2 linked regions of the Lytechinus pictus genome follow. The main gene of each other region encodes a partner of the protein of the gene in region 2 in a complex. Links are inferred from orthologs where the notes say so. Each region holds a gene or a part of one and is shown on either strand. Other genes may lie near its edges.

Region 1 (16,392 bases), on a different chromosome or scaffold from region 2:
AAGAGGGTTTCTCATAGTCTCATTCAGCCATGTCATATTTTTGGCAAGATAAGATGCTTATAGAAGACAATTACATGATCAAACTTTTGAAATTTAAGTTTGGGAAAGTATTCAAAGTACACACATTGAAATAATTTTGGCTTAATCTACAGATTGACAGATCATCATGGTCTAGTGGTTCTGACTGTCATCACCCATACGGAGGATCATGGGTTCGAATCCCAGCCATGGAATGTTTTTCTTTAGCAAGAAATTTATCCACATTGTGCTGCTCTCTACCCGGGTGAAATAAATGTATACCAGCCTTCCAGGTAGGATTGATTCCTGAATGCACTGAGCACTACAGATAATGGGTGATTTCAAGTCCGGTGTTTGAATTGGTGTTGGTGTTAGTGTTGGAATTTGGATTGCTTCCCCTAGCTCAAAAATCTATTCTGACTTTGTAAAACTGATCCAGATAACGTTATTGACATCTCAAAAACTAGTGAGTGACTTTTCAGGACCATCTTCAGTTTATGTTTGGTGTTATACTCGTGTAAAAATTGACACCAACACCAACAGGTCAAGACTGAACTTGAATCACCCAATGTAGTAGCATAAGCTAAAGCCAGTGTTATAATAATTATGCTTTGTATTCTCTGGCAATAAGTGTTATATGATGATGAATCCAGCCATCAATACCATTATTCAAGAGATAACGCTACAAAGCATTCCTGCCAGAGATCACAGTAACTCTGCAATATCAATATGTGTCAGACGTAAGTGGCTTCATCATCATCACTAGCTGTATGTGTCTCTACTCCTGATGAAGTATTAAGCTTTGGAGTCCTTTCAATATTCCCTGTAAGAACTTGATCATGAATCCACAGGTATTCCACCAACGTGTTCATGGCAGGAGCAACATCGTCAACCTCGGCACAGGAGTCGCCTGCCAACAGAGCGTTCGATTCCGTGGGCTTCAAGACGTTCTTCAACTTAAGAATTGGCACTTGCCACTGCTTCTGGAAGTCCAGAAGTTCCCTGGAAGTGATTTCACTGCGGTTGTACTGGTCATACTTGGTACCAATCACAAACAGAAGAGGTGTGTCTTCGTTAGAGAGAGTCTTGGACAACTGGGTTCTCAAATCCTCGAAGCTGGAACGATCAATGAAGGAGAAGAAGTAGAGCACTGCTTGAGCCTTTTCTCGGCAAGCCTAAAATGTAAAGAGAACAGAGATTGAAAACATATATATGAAAACTTTAGCTGGATTCTTGACTGTGCACCATATATTATAAATATACCACACACCTTGAATATTCATTCCAAATAACTGGAATCGTTTTTGCCAGTGGGATACATGCTGCTATCTATTTCTCATAGTAATTGTATAGCTGGGGCATGGCCGTGATAGGAAGGGTAGAAAACTCAAGCACAATACAGGAAAATAAAGCATCCTGATCATTGACAAAGCATATTCCACGGGGGGTTGATTTTCCATGTGGCATCCTGATGTTAACCCTTCGGAGCCGTCTGGCTTCTGCAGAAGCGAAATATCAGTATTTACTATTTTTGTCTCTAGAAGCATTTCTTTTGCAAATTTCAAATAAGTCATGGACAGCAGAAGGGAAGCCCTTGTGATATTTGCATGCCAATATAATATGAACTACTTACAAATTGACTAATTTCAGCATTATCCAATATGAGATATTTTAGAGCTCACTCATTATGGAAGACGTATTATTATGAACATATTGTGTATAATTCATGCATGTTCTTGCATGAATCTAAGATAATTAACTTTCGATATTATTTGAATTATGGTTATTTCTGTTCGCTGATACCCGTCATGCCCACAAACATACTAATGAATCATTAAGAACTGGACAAGCCAAATATGAATCTGACTTTATCTTGTTGATCTGAGAAACTGTCGCCAAAATAAAATGTTTCTATTGTTGAAACACCTGAAACGCATTGTTGTAACACCTGTTTAAAACACATCATCTTGTCGTCAGCTCATCACATGGGGTCAAAGCTGGTACTATGCGGGTACATTTGTATCCTTTTTAAGACATCCCTGGTTGGGAGCAGTTTATAATCGCATTATCGAGTTGAAATATCCAGTTTAAAAGTTGGGAGCAGGCACCAACAATCAAAGGAACCTCATCAACAGGGAAAATATACATCTATATCTCATATCATTGGTATAATACTAGTATACCTCTTTTAATGATTACATTAACAATGACTTCAATGTGTGGTTCTCTCTGGCAATCTGAAGCAGTGCAATTATTGGCAAGTTTTCATTTTGTGATGACCTCGAAATCTCCCCCAAGTAAACAATATTTTACTTGAAACCAGTGAGAAAGAGTCACGAGTAGAACTGACATAAATTTTGCAAATGACCATGAGGAAGCTGAGTGACATTTATGAATATGTTTTATAAAAGAAGAATAGTTTCTTTGGCCATCCATGTTATTGGTTTTGTTGGTTTTTGAGTAGAATTACAGGAAAAATGTCACAGAATTTTCCAGTAAATAGCGAAATCAAGTGGTCGAGAAACTTTTCACATTTTCCATTCATGAGCATGAATGAAAGTGAAATAATATGAGAAGTTGACCATCTATTTTTAGATTAATTGAATGTGAATCAGTGGTTGTACTTCAGTAATACTTACTGGATGAATGTGATCAAACTTCCTCTGGACAGCATGCCCAGCATCCCAGAACTCAAGACAGAACATGACAGGTTTCCCAGAATGCTTCAGCTTTGCAGGCCAGTATGTCACAGCTTTAACAATACCTAACGAAACACATGATATAAACACATACATGTAAAATCCAAGACTTTTGGTAAAAGAGCTTTTGGGAAAATGGCACCAGAATTGTGGATCAACCTACCTTATTTTATGAGATCAATAACAGACAATGACAGATTAAAATCTGTGTTAAAAGCATACATTTTTAAGGAGCACTTGTATTAGCCTAAGTACTAAAAATATTAAAATAAACCCACATGCATAGAGAATATTTAAGTGGTATTACACGTCTCTATCATCTGATTATTATCTATTATTTAAATTCAATGCCTTCAAAATTCAAGAAAAAAAAAAACATCAGTCAAGTAATTAACACCAACATATTCTTAATTTTAAGGACAACAATCATAACTAAAAGAAAACTATACTAAATATTTAATTTTTTTTTGAATTTTTTTAATGCTAATCTCCCACCTTTCAACACATGAAGTACATCATATTTGATACATGTATTGTAATTTTTTTTTTTTCAATTAATGATATCATAGTAAAATCGTCACAGGTCAACTCCCCTAGAAGGAAAATTCCTCCAGATAAGATCCTCTAATGAGCATTTCTTTAACTCTCACATTCATCATCTAATTCAATCAAAACCAGGACAATTGTTTGTTCATACATGAATATTACAAAGCACACAACAATGATGTTCTATATATTTGGTGACTAGGGTGTAAGCCTTGTATCCCAATAGGTTAAAAGCAGGGTTAAAAACAAAATATACAAATAGATTTTAATACCATGACATATTAAAGAGAAATGCATGGTTAAAGGACAAGTCCACTTCAACAAAAGGTTTATTTGAATAAAAAGATAAAAATCGAACAAGCATAACACTAAAAATTTCATCAAAATCAAATATAAAATGAGAAAGTTAGGAAATTTTTAAGTTTTGCTCAATTTCACGAAAACAGTTATATGCACATCCTGGTTGGTATGCAAATGAGGGGACCTTCATGGAATTTTTTGTCTCTGATTTATTGTTATTTTGACAGTCTGTAATGTTCTCAAATGACCATGAGTTGGTCAGTTTATGATGTGAAGTAAAACTAAAGAAAAATGGGGGTCAGACGTACAAAAAGGTTGATCATTTTATGGAATTGCCCTTATGGTTCATTCAAGTTTGCCCATATAGTCAAATCTGTAAAAATTGAAATATTGTATAATTCAAACAATAAAAAAAAAATAGTGAGGGACATCATTGACATTCTCATTTGCATATCTCTGAGTTGTGCAAACAACTGTTTTCTGAAAAAGCATAACTTTCTCATTTTACATCCAATTTTGATGCAATCTTCAAAGTTATACTTGTTTGATTTTTCTCTTTTGATTCAAATCAACATTTTTCTGGGGTGGACTTGACCTTTAAACTTACCTGGGGTTTCCACATGGTTGGTAGCTACTTGCTGCCCACATAACCTAGCTACAGTACTGCTCTTTCCTACACCAGCTTTCCCAACCAAGCACAGTTTATACTTTAATATCTTGGGCTGCTCTAGATGGGACGGTAATGAAGGACTGTCCAGACAGCCTGATGAAAATAAAAATGCAAGTTGAACAAGGAATTAGAATCCTATATATTTGGGAAATTTTGACCCACTTTCCAAAAATCAAAGACTGTTATATTTCCAAACATCAATATTATCTTCTGATTTTATAAAATTTCAAATACACAATTAATAGGGCTACATATCTCATTTGATTTGAAGAAAAGCATTTTCCACAAGTACAATAGAATCATTCACTCTCAATTTAATAATCTATGCATATACTAAGCTACATTTGAAGTGATGCACCAAACTTGGTGACCTTTGACCTGTAACCACATTACCCTACAAGTTCATACCCAATATATGCACAAATATCATGCAATTTGAAAATTCTCTATTTACTGGGTGCTTCCCACGATATCTTGAAGAATAGGCTATTTCTATGAAAATCAAGGCCTCTTGATCAGGAGAGCATTTCATCAACATTTTTCATATAACAAGTTTAGTGACAGTGATTTTCCGCGATCGCGGAAAACGGACGGAATTCACGGAAAGGGCCTTTTGAAACGGAAAGTGGCATTTCAAACGGAAAATCACGGAAAACGTATTTTCCCTCAAAATACACAGAATAGCAACAGAAATTACTCCAAAATCACAACAAAATGAGAATATTAAATGGCCACAAAACCCCAGAAAACACGATCTCACTTCGCTACTATCATGACAATTCACACATCGTGACTGCACTCGACATCACCACACTCGATTGTACCCCGCACTCGTACCGGTACCCGCGCAGCCGGCCGGGTGGGGCTTCACATGCACACATATCGTTCAACTACACGGTCGTGTGTTGCTGCCCTCTACGTTTTAAGATGTAACTGCACGATATCGTGGTCTTAAAATCCAAGATGGCGGATTGGCAAAAGCCGTTTACTGATGCTAACGATGTCCAAAAAACCCCAAAATTATCGATGAAATATCATTTCACCGTGAAATAATGCTAATAATGTGAAAGGTGAGGATGTATGCATGCTAAATAGGTTTGTAAAAATATTTTATGCACCCGCATAGATCCGATTAGAACGGATTCTATTGTGTTGTTGGTACAGTAGCAGATACAAATTTTGACCAGTGCGAGTGTACGTGTTGTGATTTTGCTATTCATGTGTAAACGGAATTGTCACTTTTCCGTGTGTACAAAGTCTATGGGGAAACGGAATTTCCGTTTTCTGACATGCTGAAACGGAATTTGAGATTTTCTGAAACGGAAAAGGCAATTTTTTGAAACGGAAAATCACTGTCCCTACAAGTTCTGACAACTTTCCCTTATTCTCATTGGCCGAGAAGCACAGTTCCTACGGTCTGTCAGATAAAACAGGGCCTCCGTCTTAAAAAGAGTTACGATTGATCCAATCAATCTTAAGTATATGGAAATCCATCAATGTCATAATTTTTTTCTTTAGGAAATTTGCTTAATGTCCTTTGAAAACAAAGAGAAGCATACTGAATTGTAAAAAAAACAGTGAATGTATGAATATACATGTACATCATTTCTAAAAAATATTTTGGACAAGCATGTATTTTAGATTTTGTTGTTTGCTGGCTTTCCATAGTTACGATTGATTGGATCAATCGTAACTCTTTGTAAGACGGCGCCCAGGACTTGTCGGATATAGCCTATCATCTGACAAGTCCTTTCATGAAACGCTTCCCTGACTAAAGTCGATTAGCCTTCGAGTAGCCAATCATAATATTCAATACCCGGGTACTCACCAAACATTCTCCTTTTTCCATGTCTGAGGATACTTGTAAAGTATTCTCTACCCTCTTGTGTTTTATGCCACCCATCATGATTGATGTAGGTACCAAGAGTGTGAAAGGACCAATTTGACCTCTCTTCTTCCATCAGGGTCTTTGCATCAGACTACTTACATCTGTTTAAAAAAAAAAAGTTGTACATAGCTCACACATGACACAGAATTTAGTTCAATGAAGTTTGTATCATTTGACACAGGGGTGAATCCAGGATTTTCCAAAAGGGAGGCAAAAAAAAAAAAAAAGGTTTTCAATCAAAACTCAAGTTCATTTTGTCCACATAAAATTTGAAAAGCTCCCCCCAAAAAGTCCTCACTTGTCTTTGAACGACATATATAACCATTAAAAATATATCTTGTGACTTTCAAAAGGGGGCCCACACTTGGGCAAAAATGGCATACATGTATTTACATTAAAAATTTTATTTTAATCAATGTGGCAATCAGATTCCTCATGAAAAATTACCCCTTTTCAGTCTACTTTCAAATTTACTCCTTTTGTTTCATAAGGATTTTTGTCATCTTCACACAAAACAAATAGGCTTCTGACCTCAGTGAGACAAAATTTGGGGTGGAAAATATTCTTTTTGGCCGTTGGTATGGTTTCTATTATAGTATTAATCCTTGGCAAGTCTCCAGCAAATTTCCTCCTCATATAAAGCCAAGCGCAGTGATGTCTGAGAATTTGAACGATGACTTAGAGACCAAAGCCGAAATACAGCCGTTTACAATCGCAATATAACTATAAGCAGCAGGGAAATTGACCTATGTGCTTGAGAGACTAGACAGGAATAACCGTCGTTTCTGGGGTCTGGGGATTTATCTAACAATTTCTTACAATTTTACTGTCCCTATTCACCTGTATTGGTGAGTGGAGCCAACGTATTTCAGCGGAACAACCAAGGCAATGTACAGAGACTGAAGCTTTTGGTCTAACAGTAACACCACTAGTTTTGAGAGACTTGCTATGACATTTCGTGGAGGGGAAATTTGCTTGAAGTCGGCTGGTGCAAAACTGCAGCATGCATAGTGCCCAATTACAATTTTGGCCAAGAGTCTCCAATAAAACTGGTCGTGTGTCACTTCTGACCAGTAGAGGCGCTGGTCCAAAAATTGGGATTGTCCCAGAGAACAAGGATATCAAAATGGAATTTAATAATCTCTTTTGGTCCAGTTCTTTTTATACATTTTTATGAAATGACAAAAATCGATGAGCCAAATCGGGGGGATTTTGCAATGTTAATCCCCTAATATATAATGGTGGGAGCACGATACTAGCGAGCCGTCTGTGTGCGAGGAGAAATAAAAACAATTTAAATATGTTTTAAAAATCCTCAAAACAGACGGCTAGCTGCCAGCTGTCTACTGCTGACTGGCAACACAAACGATTACCTTTCTAAATATTTGTTACTTTCTCATGACTTTCTTATTCTATTTGTATTTGTTTACTTTTTTTCTCAAACTCCCATGTCATAATAATGATGATTGTGTCTTTGTGAATGATTTTTTATGTTTAATTTTTTTTTCTTCTGGTGACTGGTTTTCACAGTCATGACAGTCACTAACCCAGAGAGCTCCAGCCCGCGTAGCGGGCTGGAGCCCAGACGCTCAGTGTGCAAACGGGCATTCAGGTGAGAGTACCGTGAAGTTTGGTCAAAATAATTTTGATAATACATAATTAAAACAGAAATTAAGCACTTACCACGATTGTATGGATGATAGTCTAACGAGTGGCAGTTTCCTGACATCGAGGCACAGACTGGAACCTCAAAAAACGATCAGTTCTGTCGCGGTGGCTCTCCTTCTTTCAAAATTCATAGCAAAATGGCCGTTCGAGAGGGTGTAGGGCGCATGCGCGAATTTGACAAAGTCTATATGCGCTAGTGCTATACTAGCCTCGGTCTCGATCGGCCATTTTGTGTTGAATTCTGAAAGAGGAGAGCTACCGCGACAGAACTGATCGTATTTTGAGGTTCCAGTCTGTGCCTCGATGTCAGGAAACTGCCACTCGTTAGACTATCATCCATACAATCGTGGTAAGTGCTTAATTTCTGTTTTAATTATGTATTATCAAAATTATTTTGACCAAACTTCACGGTACTCTCACCTGAATGCCCGTTTGCACACTGAGCGTCTGGGCTCCAGCCCGCTACGCGGGCTGGAGCTCTCTGGGTTAGACAGTCACAAGACACAAGCTAACTAACTAACTTTTTTGACAATCAAACGTCAGTGCTCCATCTGTCAGCCCTCCATCCCATCAACTTACAGGTTTGAATGTTCGAAAATTCTGTGTAGAAATGGTCCGATCCCTGATCTGAGAGCTAGAAACTGAAGAAGTAAGTTAGAACAGCACGAAATTGAAAACAGAAGCGCGCGGCGAGGAAGAATCAATCGAGTGATATAACGGAAATGGCATGTGCTGCTACCCGAAGCCGCTGGCGCAGGTAGATCGCACAGCCCGCTAGTTAGGTTCGTAGCTTGCGAGTTGAAAGGTATTGTCAAATGATAAATCAAAAGAGAGAAAAAAACAGTCGCGAGGAAAAAAATATAAGAAAGAAAATGAAACTAAACCTATATAAACCCCTCAAAAAAAGTTTGGAAATCTGATTTTGGCCATTAATTTCTCCCAACTCCCAACTTTACACAATTCATAATTTACATCATTCAAAAGATCAGTTAATTCTCTTTAAAATGATACCATGCTTGTTATGGTCATGCCACACGAAAAGAGCTGGGGAGCGTTTCATCAACATTTTTGTCCGACAAGTTGTCAGATCTGACATCTTTCTCTGACTCTGATTGGCTGTGAGGTACTGTTACTATGGTAACTGTCGGATAAAATGGGACTTGTCGGATAAAACGTCCGACAAGTCCTTTCATGAAACGCTCCCCAGGATTCAAAAGTGTTGGATGAGGTCTGAATTTAAAAGCTGCAAAACGAGCAGAAATAGTCATGAAAGGTCAATACAGAACATGATTCTTTTGTCTGTGTCAATAGAGATGAAATCCATTCAAATAAAACCCCTGCTTCTTGATTTCTTTATGTTTTGTTGTGGTTTATGTAGTGATGGTTCTGTGAGATACATGTAAGATGGTTCGAAATACCCATGCATATTTGTTTATTTCTTGTGTTTGCTTGTGCAATGATGTGTTTGATTGCATGTTAATGTTGATGTTAAGGTGCATGAAAACAATTAAAAGAAACCGCTGAGAAACTCACTCATCACCACGGAAAAGAGAACAGTGACTTTCAATATTGTGTCATTTTGCAACTTTTTAATTTTGACCTTGCCCCACATTTCAAGGCACTGCACCTCCATGTGAACCATAATCATAGGGTATCATTTTAAAGAAAATTAAATGATCTATTCATTGATATTAATAACACATTGATATTCGATAAAACCAAGGAAGGATTATCGATCAAAGTAAAAAAAAAAAAACCGCTGAGAAACTCACTCATCACCATGCACGGAAAAAAGAACAGTGACTCTCAATATTGTGTCATTTTGCAACTTTTTAATTTTGACCTTGCCCCACATTTCAAGGCACTGCACCTCCATGTGAACCATAATCATAGGGTATCATTTTAAAGAAAATTAAATGATCTATTCATTGATATTAATAACACATTGATATTCGATAAAACCAAGGAAGGATTATCGATCAAAGTAAAAAAAAAAAAACCGCTGAGAAACTCACTCATCACCATGCACGGAAAAAAGAACAGTGACTCTCAATATTGTGTCATTTTGCAACTTTTGAATTTTGACCTTGCCCCACATTTCAAGGCACTGCACCTCCATGTGAACCGTAATCATATCATGTAGGGTATCATTTTAAAGAAAATTAAATGATCTATTCATTAATATTAATTACACATCGATATTCATTACAACCAAGGAGAAATTATCGATCAAAGTCAGATTTCCAAACTTTTTTTGAGGAGTTTAGTTTAATATGAAAACTGCTGTTTATAATAAATATAAATCAGTCAGCCGTGAAATCCAGGGGATGGGAAGGGATGGGTTGAGTTTTCTAGCAATTTGCTAAGAAGAAACGAGTAGACAGATAGTGTTTATGATCTGATAAGATGAGTATTGTAATTATTTGTCATATGTAAGTTTTGTTATATTTTGTTATCTTGTTGACCTAATAAAAAAGGGGTATCTCCTTTGATTTATCTAACCAGTGAAAGAAAAAGCAAACAGAGAAATGAGAAAAGGGAATCAATGTTATTAAAGGAGAATGAAACCCTTGAAAAAATGCAGCTGAATCCATATCAAAGAGAAAAATCAAAGAAACATATTGTTGAAAGTTTGAGGAAGATTGAATGAATAATAAGAAAGTTATGAGCATTTGAAAATTGAGATCACTAATGCCATGTAGATCCTCCCATTGGCAATGCAACCAAGATCTGTGATGTCACACACGTACAACTCCCTCATTACTTTAGTACTTATTTCACTTATATTCTCACTTTTATAGAGTCTATCACAAGGTGAGGTGTTCTCTTTATGAGAGGACAAGTACAGAGGTTTCACAACATTATATCAATGATGAATCGTTTGTCATATGATTAGAATGAGCAAAAAGAGATGTTTTGGGGTACATTTTCAGTGTCCAAAAGGGGAGAGTTGTCCAGTTTTGGACACTGAAAATATACCCCAAAACATCTCTTTTTGCTCATTCTAATCATATGACAAACGATTCATCAATGATATAATGTTGTGAAACCTCTGTACTTGTCCTCTCATAAAGAGAACACCTCACCTTGTGATAGACTCTATAAGGTGAGGTGTTCTCTTTATGAGAGGACAAGTACAGAGGTTTCACAACATTATATCAATGATGAATCGTTTGTCATATGATTAGAATGAGCAAAAAGAGATGTTTTGGGGTACATTTTCAGTGTCCAAAAGGGGAGAGTTGTCCAGTTTTGGACACTGAAAATATACCCCAAAACATCTCTTTTTGCTCATTCTAATCATATGACAAACGATTCATCAATGATATAATGTTGTGAAACCTCTGTACTTGTCCTCTCATAAAGAGAACACCTCACCTTGTGATAGACTCTATAAAAGTGAGAATATAAGGGAAATAAGTACTAAAGTAATGAGGGAGTTGTACGTGTGTGACATCACAGATCTTGGTCGCATTGCCAATGGGAGGATCTACATGGCATTAGTGATCTCAATATTCAAATGCTCATAACTTTCTTATTATTCATTCAATCTTCCTCAAACTTTCAACAATATGTTTCTTTGATTTTTCTCTTTTATATGGATTCAGCTGGTTTCAAGGGTTTCATTCTCCTTTAAAAAGAGAGGTCTAAGTCTTTGTGTCAAGGGTATCATTTTACCCAGATGGATTCGCATGATATTGAATTAGTAAAACAATGTTGTACAGTGTGCACATCAGTTTTGAGTGGTTCCCACTACAAGCTCTACAGAGAGAGAGAGAATAAATAGGGAAAGGGGAGCAAGGAACAAAGACAAGTAGCAGAAATAGGAATTTTGACATTACATAACTTTGGATATTTGTGGGAAAATATGAGACTGTAAAGCGAGCAAGCCAAAATACACAAAGCAATTATATTTTATGCATAGGCTATATAAGACCCGATAGCAAATTATTCATCAGAATGATGACTATTGAAGTTGAACACTCTACTGATGAGGAATGTACTCTTTCTTAGCTTTGGCATATATTATACAAACACAAGGGAATATGGTGAGATTTTAGGGAAGGGCTGGAGCTTAAATAGTATCAAAATATTTTATCAAATTTTATTGCTAATGTCAAGATTCTCATGGAATTTTCATCGATATCTGGCATAATAATTCTTCTTTCCCCCCCCCCCCCCCCAGATCTGCGAGAGATTCTGCACAAATCGCTCACTTTTATATTTTTTAGTTTCATATTTTTTACATTTTTTTAGTTTCATATTTTTTACATTTTTATTTATTTTTATTTAATTCCATTTTGTTTTATTTTTTGGAGGGGGTCTTGCTTGATTTCCAGAAATCTACACCCTATCCAAAATGCAACCCCTCAAAATTCTTGCCTCATTACTCACAGTAACACTTAAAAATAAAAAAGTAACCCAAAATGCCTTATCTCCAAGGAAAATTGATGGAATATTTATCATCACCACCACTACTACCATCATCGTCTCCTTATCAACATCATCATCATCATCATCATCACCATTATCATCATCACCATCATCATCATCATCATCATCATCAGTGGTTATTATTGATATTGCTGTTATTGCTATTATCACTATGACGATGGTGATGATTATTTCATTCGTATTATTATGAGTCTATCATCATTATCAGCACCATTGCCATCATTATCATTTGATGGAGATTTTAATCCTTTTGCATACCTAAATTCTAGCATGCGGATTCATCATTAATGCAAGTTCACTTAGCTGGAAGATGAATTTGAATAGAGGTGAGCCTTACTCTATGCAATACCGGTAATCCTTGCAGCTAAATTCTGTCTATCTAGACTAGAAGGGGCCAGACTTGACAGGCATTCATGCTATTTTCTGGTTCCTATTATCCTTGCTTTTCAATGTATTCATAACTGATTGTCTGTAAACTTGTAAATTGGTATTATTATTGCATTGGATAATAAATAAATTCATTCATTCATTCATAAATTTTGTACTCTCTGCAGTTTGTGCATCAAGACCATACATCAATATGATTTTGACCTTTTTGTTCCTTCTCTTTTTTCTTTCCTGTATATAAAAACGCATAATTTATATGAATAAGTCGGTTATATTTTCTCCATTTCCAAGGGGGATCCACACTTTAAAAGCTTTGCTTTTTAGTGGACCCCCCCTCATAACTATTTATGCTCAATATTATACTTTTTTTTTTTTTTTACGAAGTAAGAATGCTCGTCTGTAAAATTGTATTTGATTTGTATTACTTTATATTACTTTGTATTATGTTTTGAATGGAAATGGAATAAAGAATTGAATTGAATTGACCATACAGAAGACTATTGCAAAAGTCAATGCGAGACATGACCAGCATCTGAACGAGTCTCTGGGTGGTCTTTTTTTCTTTTATAAGAATTGATGGATGCTACTGATTTAATGCAACACAAATGTGGCAGATCTGCATACGTTGTTCACACGAGTCTTCAAAGAAAGATTATTATCTAACATCAAGTACACCTACACACTACAAAAAGAACACAACTTGTCAAGTGTTTTAGTTGCTGTTGATTTTTACTCCATATATCACTACAATATGACCTGCTAGTGACAGAAAAATGTTACAACTTTCAGACATATCCATTCCCCATCAAAGCACTGTAAATGAAGGATTCTTAGTTTGTATTTTACAATCCTCCTTTCCTCATTCCTTAATTTTATTTATCAACATGTACACAGCACACAGATTTATATAGTACAAATTGTCCTGTTTCCTATTCTTCTCTTCTGTCTAGATAGTCTTAGATTAAAACATAAATAATGCTACCATAATTCATTCAAGATATGCAGATAGAGGAGTACAAAATGACTAACAATAAGTTACTTAGATTTCTTATATAACATACAGGATTTACAGATATAAAATTGCATTTTTTTTTTCTTTACATTTTGGAGGGAATTTCGACATCCAGTCTTTTCTAAAAATACGAAATGAAAATGTACCAAACAATGCTCGCATTTCGCACGGTAGAAAAAACTACCATGAAATCTTCACACATCCAGCGATTAATCCTCTTTTTTGTTTTTATTTCACACAATATTGAATCTAAAAACCATGAATATGAAAGCAATGACCCGTAAAATGCACAAGAGAGACAGAAATGGTCAAATCTTGCCCTCATATTATTATTATTACCAATCGAGGAGCAATGGAAAGTAATGTAATACCTATACCAGATAATATTATTCTATTCATTTCAGAATGGATTTCCTGGCTCTTTATACCTCAGTCACATTTGCTCTACGGCGGCCGTACAGCGATCAAAAACAGCCATTTTAACAGTTTTTGTACCAGCTACATATAGGTGGTTTGAATAGAACGGCTGTTTTCAATTTGCCATACGGCCCATTAGGGGAAATATGACTGTACATTAGGAACATTAAAAAATTTGCCCAAAAGGTCATTTTACAATTCAGCACTCCAAAAGGAATATATTATTATACACAGAGAGTACATATCATCACTGATTAATATTTCAAATAAATTCATATGATTTATATAATTGCTAAAACCTCATTTCAAAATAGTAAAATCATTCTAAAATCACCCTTTTTTTCCTAGAATAAAATGTAACAAATTTTAAAGGTAATATATGTTGGAACTCCAGTCCTATGTAAAAATGGCTTTGTGAAAAGCAACAATGTAGTTGAGTGCTTCAACCCCCCTCTCCCCCTTAAGTTGGTTGAAAAGTACATATAAAACACTTTTTATCAGTTTTACCAGTAAAACTTGGTATGGTAGTACCATTAAGCATGATTTTCCAACCCATCAAATCATATTCAATAAAGTATTGGAAATTTCTTGTCTTAATACACAGTTTATACAATCTTTAAATTCACAGATAAAAGTATGCTAGAATCATCAAATGACCTACATTTCAAATTGGCCAGAAAATTTTCAGATAATTCTTAAATTTTTATGGGAATTTTTAAAATGCCAGAAGAGTTGTATCTGGCAGATATAAGCATCATACAAGAACCAATTATTATCACCATTAGTATTAATATTACTATTAGTCATAAAAAAATAATACTTCTTAAAAGGGTTTCAGATACCTTTGGTGATAATTAGAAAATTACTCATGCCTCTACAATCCATCAACCTACATTCCAAGATCATATGGTACAGCATTAAAAAAAAAGGGGTTTGATTCAAATAGAATATTACCATTTTGGGGGTTCATATTCATGGTCCATGTCAAAATAAAGCAGTGTCGGGACATAAAACATTCCTTCAATTTTATCAATGCTATTAATCAATCAAGACACGTACGAACAAACCGATCAGAAACCAGGTGAGAGGTCACAATTAAAATACTGTCTGTGACAACGAAACAAAACAAAAATACAGCACAGCTAAGCCAGAACTTCCATGGCATCACACTAGTAATCAAAACCATAAGATTAAAAACACCATATAAAACACAAATGCTGCACAAACAAACCCTGGAATGTATACGTTGCTTTTCACTGATACAGGGCTGTTATGACTGCTAAAAGATCTGATGTAATCTAAAAACACAACTAAATGGGATTTTGAAAGGGCATATCAAATCAGACGGAGCACCCTCGCTACAAGCTGGACACCATGCATGTAACTGGACTTTCAATACAGACATCTAACATGTAGTCATCCTTTTCCAGATTTTTCGGAGACAGGAGTTGATGAGTGAAAAGAAAACAAGAATACTGGGGAGGGGGGGGTGCAGAATATGATACGACAGAGTTATAAATGAGAAAGAATGAGAGGGGGTTCAAGGGAGAAGAGAGGGGCAAGGGAAGGGAGAAGACCACAGAGAGATGGGTAGACAGTGAGAGAGACAGACAGGCAGACAGTGAGAGAGGAGAAAGAGAAGGAGAGAGTTGTTGGTGAACAAAGGAAACAAGAAAGGGAAGGGGTAGAGGGAGAAAATAGGAGGGTGACGGAGAATACCAAGAAGAAAGAGACAAAGAGGTAGATAGATAGATAGATTAGATAGATAGACGGACAATGTGAGTACAAAAAGAGAAGTAAATGGGGACAGGGCCCTGAAACACAAAGATTAGGGTTTGACAGTTAAGCATGATAACATTGATCGATATATGAAATTTGAGGGAACACATTGTGTTACTGGCTCCTGGAAAGGAGAGAAAGAGAGAGGGAGGTGGAAGGCAGAGATAGATATTTACTTATTTACTCTTCATACCGTAATATGCTTGATATGAATTGTCTCACTCTCAAACTGAGAATTTTCATGCAACTCTGCAATCAAGCATACTCTGAACTCTTCATGATTGGCTCTTATCAGTTCCTTCCATCTTTCTTTGTGTCTAAAATGATATGCACTTTCATCGAGATGCATAACGTGAAGTGAATTCTACCTCACACACAGTGCCAAAAAAGAGAGAACTTTGGATGGAATCTGCCACCATATTCTAATGTATTTCTCTAGCCCTGAGAAATGGAATTCATAGGATAACGCTTATTCAGAAATATTTATCATCATGCTGGAAATAAATTACCTTTCATGTAATTCCAATCAATACTTGGATATAACAAACAAGTC
Region 2 (16,420 bases):
ACAACTCCTCGTTAACATTGCCTTTATGGGGGAATTAAAGCCTTCTAATGCTTTGGCAAAAGCGCAGTAATATGAATCATACTCGAGTATCATCTAACAATCTAATCTTTCAAAGGCTTATTGAATATCAATTCATGCTTAGATTCTTCCTAAAAATTTGAATTTCACATTGAGGATACCTTGGGTACTCTCTCAGTGATGTAATAATAATAAAAATAATCAGTTCTTGTATAGCGCATATCAAATTATGATTATAATGTATATGCGCTTCCAAAGGACTTGGATATTATTACGACTATAGTTTGGAAGCCGTAATTACTTACAGCGCACACACATATCAAGGAATTAATTTGTAGCAGGTTACCATATACGTATACCTCACCTGGGTCGAGTGCAGCACAATATAGATAAATTCCTTGCTGAAGGAAACAACGCCATGGCAGGGAATCAAACCCACGTCCCTCGGATTGAAAGACGAGAGTCATAACCACTAGACCAATTACATTAAAAAACACCCTTTGAATATTTATCTTACAAAGTTACAAAAAACATAATCGTAAAAGGGGAGATAATTCAAACTTGAAAGATTTTCAAAGTACCTCATAGCATACTGTGGAACTGCCGATGAGAAGAGGACATAGAACTGAAAACCTCCCGAGTTGAGAGCGTAAGTCTTGTAGTCATCACCACACATGTAAGTCTCCTCTGCAGTATGTGGAAGGGATTTGTAGGCCTCGCCAGATGAATCTACACAAGAAAAGAAATTGAGATTTGATGAATTAAAAACTCTTTATCATTCATGTATGTTCAATTAAATCTAACAATGCTGAACTACAGGTTTCTTTGCCTAAACTGATTGCACTGGGACTAATGTTACAGATGTCTATTCGAATTGGGATGAATATGACTTAGAAGAGGTATATAACATATGTTTGGCATAATCTGGTCTCCACACTTGGGAAAATAACGGACTTATGGAAGGTCAACTTGTGCCAGTTTACCATGCCTAATGTACATAGATGGCCCATATGGCCAACCAGTATATGGCAATTTGCTTGGGAAATTAAAGGAAAACAATGATTGCAAAACAATGATACAGTACACTGTATGAAACTTCTATATTAACAATGCACCGAATAGGATTAGATTTCCAATGCAGCCAGACCAGGTGAATAAGTGCCATTTCAAAAGTTTGTGAGGACTAGGGTCAAGAGAAGTGAGACGACATTGGAGACAGAAAATGACCCTGGTAGGGTGAAGCTTAAAAGCAATTTTTGAACAGATTCTTGGAAAAATGGAAGCTCAGGTGAGAAGACTCATAAATACTACAAAGAAATTAATATATGGGACCACATATTGATGTGTACAAATAATATGATCAGTTTTGCTGAAGAAATCTTATTAAGAGGGGAAAAATTAAGGGGAAAAATTAAGGAGAAGTAGAATAAGAATTGGGAGGAGGAAGAGAATGAAATATTGATGAGAAGAAAAAGAAGGAGAATAACCACCCATTCTCCTCTTCAAACGGCAGCACCACTTGCTTCTTACCCTGCCTCTCTGGACTGATGGAAGGCGGGAAGAGTCCTCCAGCGACAGTACGGTAGAACGAAGTGAGGATCTCTCTCCGGGCGTACGGTGGCAGGGGCTTCAGCTCGGCCGCGCCCCCTGCGATCAGTGGAAGATGCATGGATGACAGGCACTTGTGCTGATCGGTATTCAATAAAACATACCTATACATGAAAGATAAAAAAAGAACATGTCTGATAACGGATCAAACATCATATAAGTTCTAGCTGCGCTGTTCAATGGCAATCTTAACAACTTTGATAACCGTGCTGCACCCTCCCCCCCCCCCCGACCAAATCTGTGAATTGCAGATTGGTCTCACCCCACTTAATTCTATTTTGTCGACAACCAGACTGTCTTATCATTATTTTGTCTAACTGTTATTTAGTCCATTCACCAATGTGTCTAATATTCGGTGACTATACCCATTTCTTATGAATCGACTTGGTCTTACAACAAGAGATTAATTGTTCATTAACCAAATATCAATTTAATAAAGAAAAAAAATAAGTAGAGAAAGTTGAAATTAGAGCTGGGTATTTGACTACATGAGAATTAGACTAAGTGATTCATTGATTAGTGTAGACCACACAGCAGGGAGACCAGATGGACTTAGCCCATATTTTAGAATATATGAGAAGCCAACCAACTGCTAGTAGACCAAATGAATATAAACCCCAAAACAATATCACCACAAAACACCTAAATTTTCACACAGATTAGGCTAACAAATTAATTCTACAATCACACAAACAAAACCAAAGTCTCAAACCGACTGATGGTATGTTGTTGGAAATAAGATGATAGATCCGGATGGTATGCATATGGAGTTGTTTAGCAAGTGCAGCTGAGACATAACATATTGACAAAACAGGCTTCCTGGAAAGAGTTAAGACCATATATGTGTGTAATTACCCCAAGATCCCAGCATCAAGAGGGATTGTTCTTGGAATGTTGGATGGGGGCGCCCTTTGGATTGCCCGGAGAGCTTCGTGGTGCGACCTCCACGATGGCTCGATGAGTTGTTCCTCTGCTTCGGATAGGGTAGGGTTCGCGTAGCACAGCACACTAACTACAACACCAGGTAAGAGGTGGATGCTCAACAGTCTATGAGGATCCTGAAACATATCAAAAACAGAATTGCTCAATCTATGTCACACAAAATGTTTGTATAAAAAAAAAATGTTTAGATCTCATATGGGGCCCAGTCCTCTGATATCAGGCAAATAGGACAGGGTTCACACTTGGCTATGACACTAGTCCTCCATATCCTCTTTTGTTTCTTCATCTCCTCCTTCTGCTACTTCTCCTCTCCTTGTCCTTCTCTAGACACCCCTTCCTCCTCCCTTCTTCTCCTACTCTTCCTCCTACCTTTCTGCATTCACTCCATCACTCCTCACTTCATTCATCTCTTCATCCTTTCTTCCCTCCAGCATTCCTTCCTTCCATCAACCTTGCATCAATCCTTCCATTCTTCCTTTTCTTCATCCCTTCCTTCCTCATTTTCATCCTTTTTCTTCCCCTTCTTATTTCTGTCTGTCGTAATTCCATCCTTCTATTTTTTTTTCACTGTTGTCCTTTCTCTCTCCCCTCCTCAACCTTACTTCCCCTTCTTCCTGTCTACCCTTCATCTTCCTCACTCTCCATTTCCTTTTCTTCTTCTAACAGTTCTTTCAACTTGCCATTATCATTAAGCTTTGATATAAAATGAAGCCTAATTGGACACTTTCACACAATCTTTTTTTTTTTAATGGCTTACCTTAGGGCTAGCGTGAGGCAGATAGATGGGAACATCACTGGATGTCCCAACGGGCAGAGACTGGATGAATTTGGCCACTAGCATCATCTCTTGACCACTGAGTGACCACCAGTTGGACGTAGCAACGACCAGCTTGCCATCAGCATGAAGACAACCGAATGTACTATCTGCACTGGTGACAAAGGCCTCCAAAGGATCCTTGTTAGAAAAAAATAGTAACAAACAAGCAAAAAATTAAATTCCTCATTTTTACCCTAATAAGAAAAAATAGTTAGGGAGAAGTGCTCCTACATTTCTGTACTGACTTACATGTATGTGTGAAAATCTGATTGACACATCATTCATACATGAGTGAACATACATTAAAAGCAAAATGTGTTTTCAAAAGTCACAGGAAATAATTTCTTATTCCAAAATAAAAGTGAATAATACAATTTTTTCCTTTATCTATATGTGTGTAGTTAACCATGACATGGCTAGAATGTCTTACATGAATATTCATAAAACATTTGAAGTAACATGAAATGATCCATAGAAATATCCATCTTCCATATTTTATCCATAAATTTAACAGATTAACAATTAATTTTTGTAGAAAGAATGAGCATTTTTTTTAATGTGTTCACTTATTAAACTGGTAAAAATGAAAAAGGGTAAATTGATTGATCATTATTATTAACAGAACATAATCATATACCAATAATATAATTTTTCCAATTTCCCTATCACAAATGACCCAAGTAACCGTTGTGGCTTTTGAAATGCCCCACTGTTGACATTTATCTAAACATTTGTTCACGTATCCATCTTAGGTACTGCATTTCCTTTCCCCTTTTTATTGATCCCATTTCTATTTTTCATTTCCTCGACCCCTCTTGGGGCTTGCAATCCCTGTGGGGGGAGGCGGTTAGTTCATCTGCCCTCCACCTCCCCCCCCCCCAAAGAAATAACATAATTGATCAAAGCTTTACCAGTAACGTAGTATTCTCTGGTGAGATAAGGACATCTACTGATGAAGTCAGAGCTCCAAACATGTCAGACTCCTGAAGAAGTACATCGATAACAGGATAGCATACCTGATATAAAGACAATTTCCAGAATTTGGGTGAACATGAGAGGACTATTAAACTTATTACAGAGTGGTTACGATCAAAACTCTGTTCAGGGGCCACCATTCTATAGCAGCCACCTGCCTATAGCGACCACTAAAACGGATTCCCATGGAGGCAGATTGCGTGGATAAAAACCTCTCTATAGCAGCCATCTCCCTATAGTGACCAGTAAAACCAATTCCCATGGAGGCAAAATGAATGTATATGTCTATGGCAGCCACCTGTCTATAATGCCACTAAAGCTTATTCCCACTGAGGCAATTTATGTGTATAAGAAATTGTTTTTAAGCAGCCACTTGTTGTCTTTAAAGGCCAGTTGTTTGTTTTTGTTTTTTCTATTTTTTTTTTTTTGGGGGGGGGGGTTCCTTTCAGTAGACATTATATGCAGGTTACACTATACTCAAACTTTTTATAAAAGTTCAGGTGTTGAAAGATGCTCAAACATGCCAATCAATGATGACATAGTTACCCGCTTGAAGCAAAAAAAATTGTTTGCTGTGACACAAAAGCATACATGAAGTGTTCGCTCAGTTGGTTATTTTTTGTACTTGCAATTATCAAGATTAAAAAGTTATCAAAATAACCTTAATACTTGACAAAATCCTGCCGAGTCATTTGGACAGAACACATAAATAAATGTACGGGACTACATGCACACTGTGAGCCGACTGTTTTACCTGTGAGGGCACTTGAGAGGGCACTTGTTGAGCAATCCTTTAAAGAAGAGCATGATGTATCCTGAATAAACTGTTCAACTTAAAATTTCATGAAAAGAATTTGAAAGCTAGCTGAAATATCATTTTTAAGACTCACCTTTATTTCTCGGCGGAGTTTTTCTACATTCCTGATACTCACAAGGGTATCCAGCCCTATGAACATAACCTGCAGCCGAAAGAAAGGACAAATGATATGAGATAACATGGATGTTTGTAAGTATTATCATCATATCTGAATGGGTCCATTAAGACAGAATATCTCCTTTAAGACAAAAAGATATTCCTGTAGAATCCTAATTATTACAAGGGTATACAGCCCTACGAACATAACCTGAAACAACCATTTTTTTTACAACCATATATAAGTAATTACCGACGCATGGCAAATTTACCAGATGCATGGCTGGTCATGCGTCGGTAATTCCATATGCATGTTGCCATTCTATAATAAACCCTATGTGGATGTCACCAGGTGAACTACAAGCAGTAGTACTTACCATTGAATGAAATATGTGGTTGAGAAGTGTATTGTAATGTACATCACAGCTTCCATCGTTGCTGGTCACCAAAACCAAGGTTACACTGTAGAATGAACAAGAAAATTAATTAATAATCGCGGCTGCCACCGACGTACTGCATTGCATCATCGACAGGATATCGGTAATGCCTTCACTGGCAAAACATACTGTAATATGCAAGTGCAACAGAAGGGATAACCATGTCCTAGAAGTTGCGTTGCAAATCTCAAATTGCCTTATAACAATTGCAGTGTAGACATCAATGTGTCGACGCAAGAACTTTTAATATGGTGTTAAAAATCGTTTTGAAAAAATACATTAATATAAAGGAGAAAGAGTAAAATATATATATATATATATATATACACATACTCCATGAATATGCCTTGCTAGTTGCTACAGTTCATAAAAGACCTAATTTTGCAACATAAAAAACCTAATTTTGCAACATAAGGAACACAATTTATAAGGAAAATCTATAAAATATATTATTTTAAAAGTCAATTGATTTACTTTTGTTCATTACATAAACATATTGTGTATATACATGTAAGTAGTAAACCCAATAAAATGGGACCACAAAACTATAAAGGTCATAACTTTCGTTTCCCTTGAATAGTTTTCCAGATTAAAATGTTTATAATAGTGGCGTATTCATGAAGACAACCTGGGGGGTGCTTCAAAAAGAGTTGCACTTAAATGCCTAGTTGCATTCGGTATATACATGTACGCTGTAAAGCATGACCGCAATAGTCAGAGGATGCGCACTATAGCATATTGATGTATAAGATTGCCATGTTGCATACCATGTATGTGTCAGCATTTAATTGCAACTCTAATTCATACTTAAATCTTTGTGAAACACCCCTGCTCTTTAAGGCCTAGGTTGGGTGGTCTTTATGTATAGGTTTCACTGTATTTGACCTTTGACCTCAATGGTCAATGTAGCTACCTGTCATGGAACACCTGCCAGATGACCTTGGCCTCTTCAGTGGTTGTACTTTCCAGCTTTACCCCATGGTTCTGGGCAAACATCTGAACGCCGTAGAGCATGCCTTGTTCAGCAAAAGCAAGCTGTTCAATGTAGAGAAAAAAGAATAACACTGATAAGACATTTTCAAGATTGAATCATTGGATTCTGAATGCCATCAAAGATAGGAATACTAACTTAATGGATGATTTCATTTTTGTTGGTGATACATGTAGTTGGATATTAACACCATTCAAAGCTTTTAAGACTGGAGTTGCAATGGTCAATGGACTTCTTCAAAGAGCTGTCTATTTTAATATTAGGAAACATGAGTCAAAGGAAACAGAATCCGAGAGTCAGGTCAGTGAGGAAACTGAACACTCAGGAGTTTAGATATTTGTTCCAGGCATCCATTTAATACTGATGCCATTCCAAAACCAATAACAAATGAATCTTGAATAAACATGTTGCAAATTTAAGCTGAAGGAAATATCCTGGTACTTGAAAAAAATGTCCAAGAAAAGACTGATATCTGATCTCCTGAAGAAGAAGTCAACATCATAGAAGATATCTGTACAATTCATCGAAAATTGAAGGATGTAGAGCAGTACTTTAGCAGGAATTTTTTCTGTGACTATACAGAATCAAAGAGTGGCCACAGGAGGCCACAGATGCAATGTCACTCAACCTGGGGAATAATTATTTTCAATTAAATTAATCATAAACCACATGACATTGATTGTAATCGTGTAGGGTCCTCCAAATCAACATGTAAATGACTGAAAATTGCTCCCACCAAGAGAGTGAAATCATTGTGTTTACAACCTTATGATTAAGAATACTGCACGGAGTCTCCGCTGAGAGTGTGGTCTGATATGCACAGACGATGTCAGGATTCTGTGTTTCACGATAGACCTTCATCAATATAATCGAGGTAAGTGCATAATTTATTTTTTCCCCTTTTATTTTGAGTGCTATTGCAACCCCATTCTACCCCATTTCGGAGAGCATATGTCCGCCTAGTATTAGACGGATCGGACGAGTCCTGGGCTCCGCGGGCCGGTGCTCCCTGGGTTTCTGCTCAAATCATTGAATTTGAATGAGTGAGCCAAGTAAACTTCACATGACTTCATGAATTAAAAACCTAAAAAAATACTCATCATATTTTCTTTCTTGACTTCACTTTGATTTATGAATGGCAGAATGCTTGTCGATCTCCGCATTTACTTTCAAACTTTCACCATTACCGGTATGCCTATGGGCTGGCATTAATAATTTATTTTTCTCCATCTTTCTGCTTTTATTAAAACCAATGCAATGACTCCTCGAAGAGAAATTTCCCTGCTTTTACTATCTATTATATATTGTTGATGTTGTCCTTTGTTTTGGGCCTATTCCAATGCCACGTCCTAGCTTTATTTTAGCTAGTCTTCTCACTCAGTCTCAGATCATGATCACACAGTCACAGTAACCAATTAAAAATCATTGACTTGGGACACACGAAAATTAAGGAGTGGGACCGAAGCCAAATACAAATACTGTACGACAAGGCTCAAACTAACATTCTTTGGTAAAATTCATATCTGTGGAAAAATCTTACGGATTTTACATCTCCTTTGGTTCGTGTAAAAAGTGGAACTCCTCCTTCGTTTGTAAGACACACCAAATGCACTGCCATGGTAGATATACGTCTTGTGAACCAAAATGTTGATAAAATTCGTCTGCGCTGCGTCAAAAAAAAATCTGTCATACACTTGACCGGTGGTATGGTGTCTTTAAACTAGAAAAAAAAAATCACATTTACTATCCCCGGTTTCCTCGTGAATAGGCCGAGGGACATAAATGCTTATATTTTGGCACAATCAGATTCTCCTTCACTCATTCATGCCTTTATCTAATATCATACTGAATATTATTATTTTTCATTCAATTTATTGAGATATTGGATCTCCAGAAAAGTGACATTTGACCCAAATGAAAGTTTTGCCTGCCCATGTTCAAATGCTGTATACAGTGCCGTTAAAAGTGTTCAGAATTCTTCATTATAAGCCATCGAGAGGCAAATAAATTATTAGCTTTAAATGCCTACATCCAAAGTATTATCCAAGGTATTAATAGAAAGATATTTCTTTTATATTCCATCAGTTATACCCACAATTATAGAGGACCTCACAAATATAATAAAAATTATGCCTATTTTTGAGCGCTCGCTCTGGTGAATGACAAAAAATAATCTCCAAGATTTAATGAAAAACATACCATAAATGATTGTAATTTCTGTTTACAAATACAAAATTTTAAAGACATGTTTGGTGTGTGGGTGTGTGTGCATGTGTTATTGTTGCATATGCAGTTATCATACAGATGGTACTAGTATAGCTGCAGAGTGGAAGTGACACACACATATAGGCTTATGTTAAACTTATGTAGATATGTACAAGAATGAAAATGTCATGTATATATAAAAACGGAATCTACTAAAACGATTTATGAGAAATATTTGGGAGATGCCTAAAGGAATTATGTTACTAACTGATCGGAACATCACAAATATTAATGTTAATATTATTATTAATGATAATAATAACAAATAATAATAACAATAATATTAATAATAATAACAATGATAATAATGATAATAATAATAATAATAATAATAATAATAATGATAATAATGATAATATTAATAATAATGATAATAATAATAATAACAATAATAATAAGAATGACAATATTAAAAGCTCTATATAGCACATATCACGTTTTGATTATAATTAACGTCTCTATAATTATGCGCCTCCAACTGAGGAATCGTATAATGTAAGTTATAAATTAATCCAGAAGATAATACGACCAAATAATATTTTCAGAATAATCATGAGAATTATCACAAATATATCACACACAATAAAATTATGATAAAGATACATTGTAAAAACTGTGGTGTTAAAACCGGCACCAGTTGGTGTTAATAGAGGACCACAATCTGAGGTGTTAAATTACACCCTAGAGATTGAACATAAACACCAAAGAGTGCAAATGTAACAACCATAGGTGTGGGGTAATAACACCTATAGGTGTTAAACTAACACTGTCAATTTATAACACCGGTGTAAAATAACTGATGTGGTCCTCTGTGTACACCGGTTAACACCACAGTTTTTGCAGTATATACAAAGGGAATCGGGAAAAGCGTATGGAGAATAAAAGGAACAAAAAAAAGAAGGATGAAATAAGAAAAATATAAAGGCAGATAGAAGTCAGAGAAAGAGAGAGAGATAAAATATGATACTTGCGAAATAAAAACTGAAAATGGAAAAATTTATCTTACATGCGTCTACCAGCATAATTTTTATTGTCGTTTAAAATTGATATTGTTAAGTCCGGCAAATTTGTTGATAGGTTCAGGTGACAATATTCACAAAGGCATTAAATTACCCTCCAATTCAATCAAAATACTAGACGAATCGTTTTCACTGGCGTGTATGAACATTTTGGTGACTTTCTTTGTTTTATTTTAAATCTTGCTATCCACATCATTTCGAATATTTTGCCGTTTTAAGTATCTTTTCCCGTTGGCAATGGTTGGGTGTGACTGACCTATGCAGGGGCCGCGGAAGCGTGTACAAAAACGTAAAAATGACCATAGGATTGTGATTTTTTGCATGGTCAGCCCCCCCCCCACACTTTTGGCTCAGCCCCCCACTTTGAAAACCGTTTCGCGGCCCCTGCTATAAACCCGAGATTGAACGAGTGAAAGATGAATTACTACATAAAATGCGATTATAAAGCAAAATTTAGGGAATTGATTCTTTAGGTCCGCTTTGTTCACATATATAATTTCTCTTTCTTTATTTTATTGGGGAAAAAATAGAATACAAAGTATTCATTACATGCTGGCTGATTCGAGGATCAGGCTTTTGTTGTACAAAGCCAGTTTAATGATGTATAGGCCTACATAATATAAAATTTAAAAAGGCAACATACAGATCGAATTTCAAGGGCAACCTCAAAAGAGATGGCCTCCATAGTTTCTATTACCCTAAGATATACTGGTATGAAACAAGATGAAAATGAAGTAAAGTCTATGCTGATATCATGTATTTAAAAAAAAACATTGCCACGACTAAATCTGGTCGCGCAATTTGTATCTTTGTATCAGCATAAATATATGCTAAGGGTAAAACCATTTTAACCAGGGGGGACCGAAGATTATTTTGATGGAGGAGGGGGCAAGTCGACATGAAGATGACATACTTTTTGTTCTCAATTGAATAATACGTACTTAGTGCATGATGCTGAAAAGTTAGCGAACCCCACCTGAAAATGAACATATTTCAAGTGTTTGTATAAGTTCTGACATGTTGATATTTAATTGTGAAGTCAGTAATTGACATATTACTTTCAATAAAGCTTGTTTCTCTGGGCTCGCCAAACATTGTTGTGTTGTTGTCTACATTCAACACTCAGCATATAAAGGAATGCATTTTCTGGTGGGGGTCACTAACTTTTTAGCACCACTGTATTATGACATGAAAATTAGGAGGGGGTAAGAGCCCAACTTATGACGCCGCCCCTGATTATAACAGTTGAATGACAAGAATTTCTCACATAGTGATTTTAATACCGGTCTGCACATGTGCATGGTGTGTGGGCCCATAGAATTACAGTTCCTATTATATATTTTCTGAACAGGAAACAACTTCGACAACTATAGGTCCCCAATTATATAGGTCCCAAATACCTTAGCGTTGTAGGACAGGGGTGTGAATAGTTACCCCCACTTGAATCCCAGTCCCCTGACTAAGTATGGGTGTTAAATTCGCATTTTGCTATGTCTTTAAAAAAAAATATATCAATATAATTATGCAATCATTATTGTCACACGATTATGGGAACCAGTATACTAAACCTGCATGGAATAAAGGAGATAAACGGGCAAACATCACTGATATTTGAAAAACTATATGATCCAAACAAGGCCAGGGACCGCGGCAGGGGTTTTAAAAGTTGGGGGGCTGGGCCGAAAATGGGGGAGGGAGGTGGCTAACCTATGAAACAAGCACAATCAGATTTACTTATGGGATTTTCTTCACGTTTATTGAAAAAGTGGGAAGGCTACACCCCCACCCCGTGGTTCATCGGCCCCTGTAAACACTTATTATGATCAATGGAAACAGATATCAAATGAAAAACTATCGAGCTTAAAACTAATGAATGAAAAAAAGGAGAACAAAAACGTTATTTTGTTTTAATCATCATGACCCTTAATGGAAAGGACTTGAACGAAATCCCATTATCATGATTAGAACTATAATACTGTATGCCTCGAGTCCATTTAGAAGTTTCCACATGAGCAGCTTTTTAGGTTTGACGAATCAAACGCATACGTGCTCTCTGACACGTACCGTTTGATTAGGCCCCCAGTTTATAGCTTTTAAGCTTTTAGGCTAATCGAAACAACTATTTTAAAAAATAACCCAATAGCGTGGATCTCACATCTCCAACAATTAAGTGTAATCATATGCTTAATACTCAATTGTAAAAAAAAAGAATAGAGAGAAAAAAATAAACGCTTCTTCGTTGACTAAGGGCAAAAATTAGTCTCACGACGTGTGAGTTTCAGAACGTTAGTTTCTTATTAATCATGTTATGTTTATTTTGCTAAATATAAATACAAGCATGTGACGATGGCCAGCTTTGCATTTTCAGTTTAAATATAAAGGTATATTCAAAACATTCGTGTATGTAATATAAAGGTATATTCAAAACATTCGTGTATGTAATACATACACGAATGTTTTGAATATACCTTTATATTTAAACTGAAAATGCAAAAGCTATGAGGATGAAATGTTATGGAGGAAAGAAAGGGCTTGTAATTTGGCTCTTTTCTTTCAAGAGAGTATATTTCCTAGAGAAAATTGAAGTATAGGTATGATTGGATTTTAATTATTTGTCATGTTTTAATATGAGAATAATGTAATTAAATGTTTCGAATTATTTGGAGCCAATTCATTTCCAAATTATTGCAGCATTTAGGCATTGTGACTCTTTTATCATTAAGGTATTTACGAAATATATAGGCCTACCTGTCGGTTTTCGTTTCGATTTTTTTTTTAATTAGCCTAGCACATCACCCGATTGCTCAGTCCACTCTTCCTCCACGTCTTCCACCCCCTCTCTTTCTCTCTCTCTCCGTCCTCTTTTCTTCAAAAGTGTGAGTAATGTTTACATGACGGACGGAGGGATGCATTTTCCACTATTATGTTGGAACAAGAGAACCAATATAGAGAGAGAGAAAAAAAAATAAGAGGAAGAGAAAAAGAGAACCTTGGGGTACAAGTTTGACGCCATGAATTACTAGCGTTTGTACATTGTTATTGTGAAGTGAGTGTGACCGGATTGTTTTTTCGCAGGTAGGTATTTCTGCCACAAATATTTATGACGTATAGGGGCATACAACAAAGAGATATCATTGAAGTATTAGTTTTTATATTGGGAAATACCTTTGGTATAAGCTGGTCATACGTCCAAGGTGAACAGTCGACAGGAATAAGCAACCCGCGCCAGCAGTGTGCAAGACAGCAGAAACAGTGTTTAAGTAAGTAATTATAGTGTACCTACAGTAAATCTACTTGATTGATCGAATGGTTCAAAGCTTCATTGACTAATCATGGAGTCATTTGTTGCTAATGTATATGTTAACCGAAATGTTATGGTACTGTAGGTTACAGGACTATTAATTTGATGTCCGAAGCTTCGAATGTAAATGACCTGAAGTAATTGTTGTAGCCTGCAAATAACACTGTACTTCCTGTCAATTTCCGTTCATATCATAAGTACTAAAGTATATAGACCTACATGGAAATTGATACAAAATACATTATACTGAATCAAGTAAAATCTACTATATCAAGTATAAAGATCCTGTTGTTCCGGTGCCTTCTTGCCACTACGTTATTGTCTTTTAAACTAATGGGGTTTTTTTATCTTGATGCTACTATATTTCAATTTATATTTTCATTGGGATACAAAGTTGTTCGGGTTTTTCAAACCTTTTTAATTTTGTATCCCTTGACATGTTTTAGTTTGTATGTTTTATTTGTTTCAATTGATTAAAAAAATACGTTGTTATCTCGATGGTATCGTGATTTGAAGGGGCATCCCCCCAAAAAAAACTTTTAGTAGTAGTAGTAGTAATAGTACTAATAGTTTCACATTTTGAAACTGTTATCATACAATATTTCGCCCAATTTCAGGACATAATAATGCTTAAAGAAATATTTTGTCATGTATTTAATATCCACATTTTGTGATCAAATAAAATTGGAAATATTCGCGATTTTCCAGTTTTTCCATGAAACAGGTCGCCACCAAAGTCTACATTGCACCATGGTATTCTTCTTATGCCTAACTTCTTTAGAAATTGGAATCTACAAAAATTAATTCACGTTTCGTTGTCACTCCATCCTCTTTTACTTATTACCTATACAGTGCGTATAAAAGAACGGGACAGTTTTGAAAAGTCTATAAAATATTTGTTTCAAATTATTTTATCTATATTTTGATGAATGCTCGAGATGTTATCTTTGAAATGCTATGTAAAAAAATAAATTTTGTTCATGCTTGAGCGAAGATGGGACGTTTTTGTCGGGGGTTCAAAAAGAGGCTTGCGCAAAAATGGCAGAAATGAGAAATTAAATTTATTTATTTACCTGAATTATTTTGATTTTCATTTAAACTTCTTTTACCTTTGAATTTTCCTTCATAAGTAAGAAAAGTAAACTTTTTGTCAACCCAAGTAAGAAGATTTGTATTATCAATTGGGAGAATTTGTAATTATTCAAATCCTTTTATTTTGTGAAACAAATTATGTTATGGTACCTATAAAAGACATGAATCCTATTGAATCCTTCACCAAGTTTATGTGCTTGACAGGACAAACAGGAAAGGATTCATGTCTTTCAACGGCAATGGTGTATTAAGTCAATTTTGAAGGAGCAAGATACGGCAGATCGGGTCAAATGTATTAAAAAGTTGTGAAGCCATCAAGGAAATATTTCCACTTTTTTTATTAAAATATAAAATTTTGTGATTTTGACATAAATATTCAGAAAATGATATCATATTTCGCTTTCTATGTTTTCTGTTATTTTCCTTCCACTTTTTTTTTCTTGGTCATGATTTTTTTTTGGGGGGGGGCACCTTAAGCCCCCACCCATCAGTATGCCACTGTTCAAAGGAACCATAACCTTTGTAGCACACAATCAAAGGATTTGGAGAAAAATCACGCTCTCCCATACTTCGGTTAAAAAAAAATGTTCTTGCCTAAAGAAGGAATATTCAAAGCTAAAAGGAACAACAGAACAATTCAAGCAAATAAGTATATTTGGAAATGAATTTTGAACGCATAATTCGAAAATTATGGCAAAGATAATGAAAATGTTAAGAGGAAGTCTGCTGATTAGCAAGAAGTCCAACCATCATATTTATCATTTTATGCCATTTTGGCGCAAGCCTCCTTTTTAACCCCAGACAAAACATTCTGTGTTCGCTCAAGCATGAACGAAACTAAATCATTTTAATGGCATTTGAAGGATAAGACTTCAGAGCACCTATTGACACCAAAATGTAGAGATCATAATTTGAAACAAAAAATGTATAGACTTTTCGAATCTGTCCCGTTTTTTAATACGCACTATATACATGTATATGATTTCATCTTGAAATTCAATCCTACATCATTTCATGTCACCTGTTAAAGCTTTATGAACATCCGTTTCATTTAATTCTGATTCCTTTCTGAAGGTGGTTCTTGTCGTGGGACTTTTTTCAATCTCAAAGCTGTACGTAGCCTCGTACCTCGTTCCCACTCAAGATTCGTACCACGATGTAAACCATGGTCTGCATCGTGGAGCAATCGTACTGATCGTGTCAGATCTTGAGGTCATTCGTAGCGATCGTCGTGATTGTGAAATAAATTTTGGACGGCTCAAAATCTTTCGCGATCGATCAGCCACAAAAGGCCAATCGTAGTGGATCGAACGACAGTGGGATAGAAGTATAAGTTTGAAAGTAGATTTCAGATTTTACTATATTGAGTGCTGAGGAATGTTGATCGACTTTGTGGAATATTTTACAAGCAAAAGTTTAAGTTCATGTTCAAGCTCAAGTTTATTTTTGTTCCGTTTCCATCATATACATCGTTTACATAAGCAAATACAGATACAAAACATCATATACATCGTTTACATAAACAAATACAGATATAAAACATCATATACATAGACGAATACAAATACTGAACATATCAAATATGAATACCCTCTAGCGATTATTTCAATCCGCAATAATGAACCTATTTAGTATTATATCAAATATAATTACAAAGCAACTGCAGATAAATCGTAAAAGATTAAACAATAGTAATTCCTATTTAGGCCTAAGGGGGATTTCAAGTTGAATTGATTCAGCATCATCATTTAATCAATTACAAATAACATAGAAGCATGTGAGAGGATGAGGCATACCCTAGTAAAAAAACACATGCAGTGCTTGAGATTTTTTTTACTTGGCTTTTCATTGCAGACTTATCTTTGAACATTTTTAATTGGCTCCAACTATACGTGTCATGCTCATGCGCAAACAGGGAGTAGTTCTGCGCAAAGGCACAAAGCAATATTTCTGCCAAAAATACCGCTTGTCGCAAGTTTGTACGCTGCATATTTAAGCCACCGCACAGGCACAGACATGCAACTTATTGATTACTTTTTTTC

The links.
Region 1: the proteins of protein fuzzy homolog (region 2) and ciliogenesis and planar polarity effector 2-like are in contact, whole or in part, in a cryo-EM structure (PDB 7Q3E), measured with the Mus musculus proteins. The link is inferred for Lytechinus pictus from reciprocal best matches to the Homo sapiens genes FUZ and CPLANE2. Residues at the interface, in NP_081652.2 of Mus musculus: Arg26, Arg35, Ile109, Val110, Lys126, Glu127, Arg129, Ala130, Tyr132, Cys133, Asp136, Gln215, Ala216, Ala217, Arg218, Asp219, Tyr220, Pro221, Tyr223, Pro232, Leu238, Thr239, Leu240, Leu241, Arg242, Pro255, Leu256, Gly257, Gln258, Pro261; in NP_001074643.1 of Mus musculus: Glu36, Gly38, Leu39, Leu40, Glu41, Arg42, Val83, His84, His85, Glu86, Thr88, Gly89, Ile90, Gln91, Thr92, Thr93, Val94, Lys124, Phe125, Met128, Glu134.

Annotation. Positions count from the first base shown.
Region 1 is NC_087246.1:46,317,743-46,334,134, forward strand, and holds the start of ciliogenesis and planar polarity effector 2-like, read right to left. Parts: upstream 8,549-16,392; 5' UTR 8,369-8,548; exon of another isoform or gene 8,311-8,368; intron 6,223-8,310; 5' UTR 6,195-6,222; coding exon 6,062-6,194; intron 4,327-6,061; coding exon 4,171-4,326; intron 2,783-4,170; coding exon 2,658-2,782; intron 1,194-2,657; coding exon 753-1,193; 3' UTR 1-752. UniProt on the Homo sapiens protein: Required for efficient primary cilia initiation, regulating a late step in cilia initiation. Plays a role in the final maturation of the mother centriole and ciliary vesicle that allows extension of the ciliary axoneme.
Region 2 is NC_087260.1:17,860,781-17,877,200, forward strand, and holds the start of protein fuzzy homolog, read right to left. Parts: upstream 8,450-16,420; 5' UTR 8,392-8,449; coding exon 8,242-8,391; exon of another isoform or gene 8,204-8,241; intron 6,746-8,203; coding exon 6,624-6,745; intron 5,736-6,623; coding exon 5,651-5,735; intron 5,320-5,650; coding exon 5,251-5,319; intron 4,402-5,250; coding exon 4,297-4,401; intron 3,524-4,296; coding exon 3,326-3,523; intron 2,685-3,325; coding exon 2,482-2,684; intron 1,731-2,481; coding exon 1,549-1,730; intron 748-1,548; coding exon 600-747; intron 1-599. UniProt on the Homo sapiens protein: Probable planar cell polarity effector involved in cilium biogenesis. May regulate protein and membrane transport to the cilium.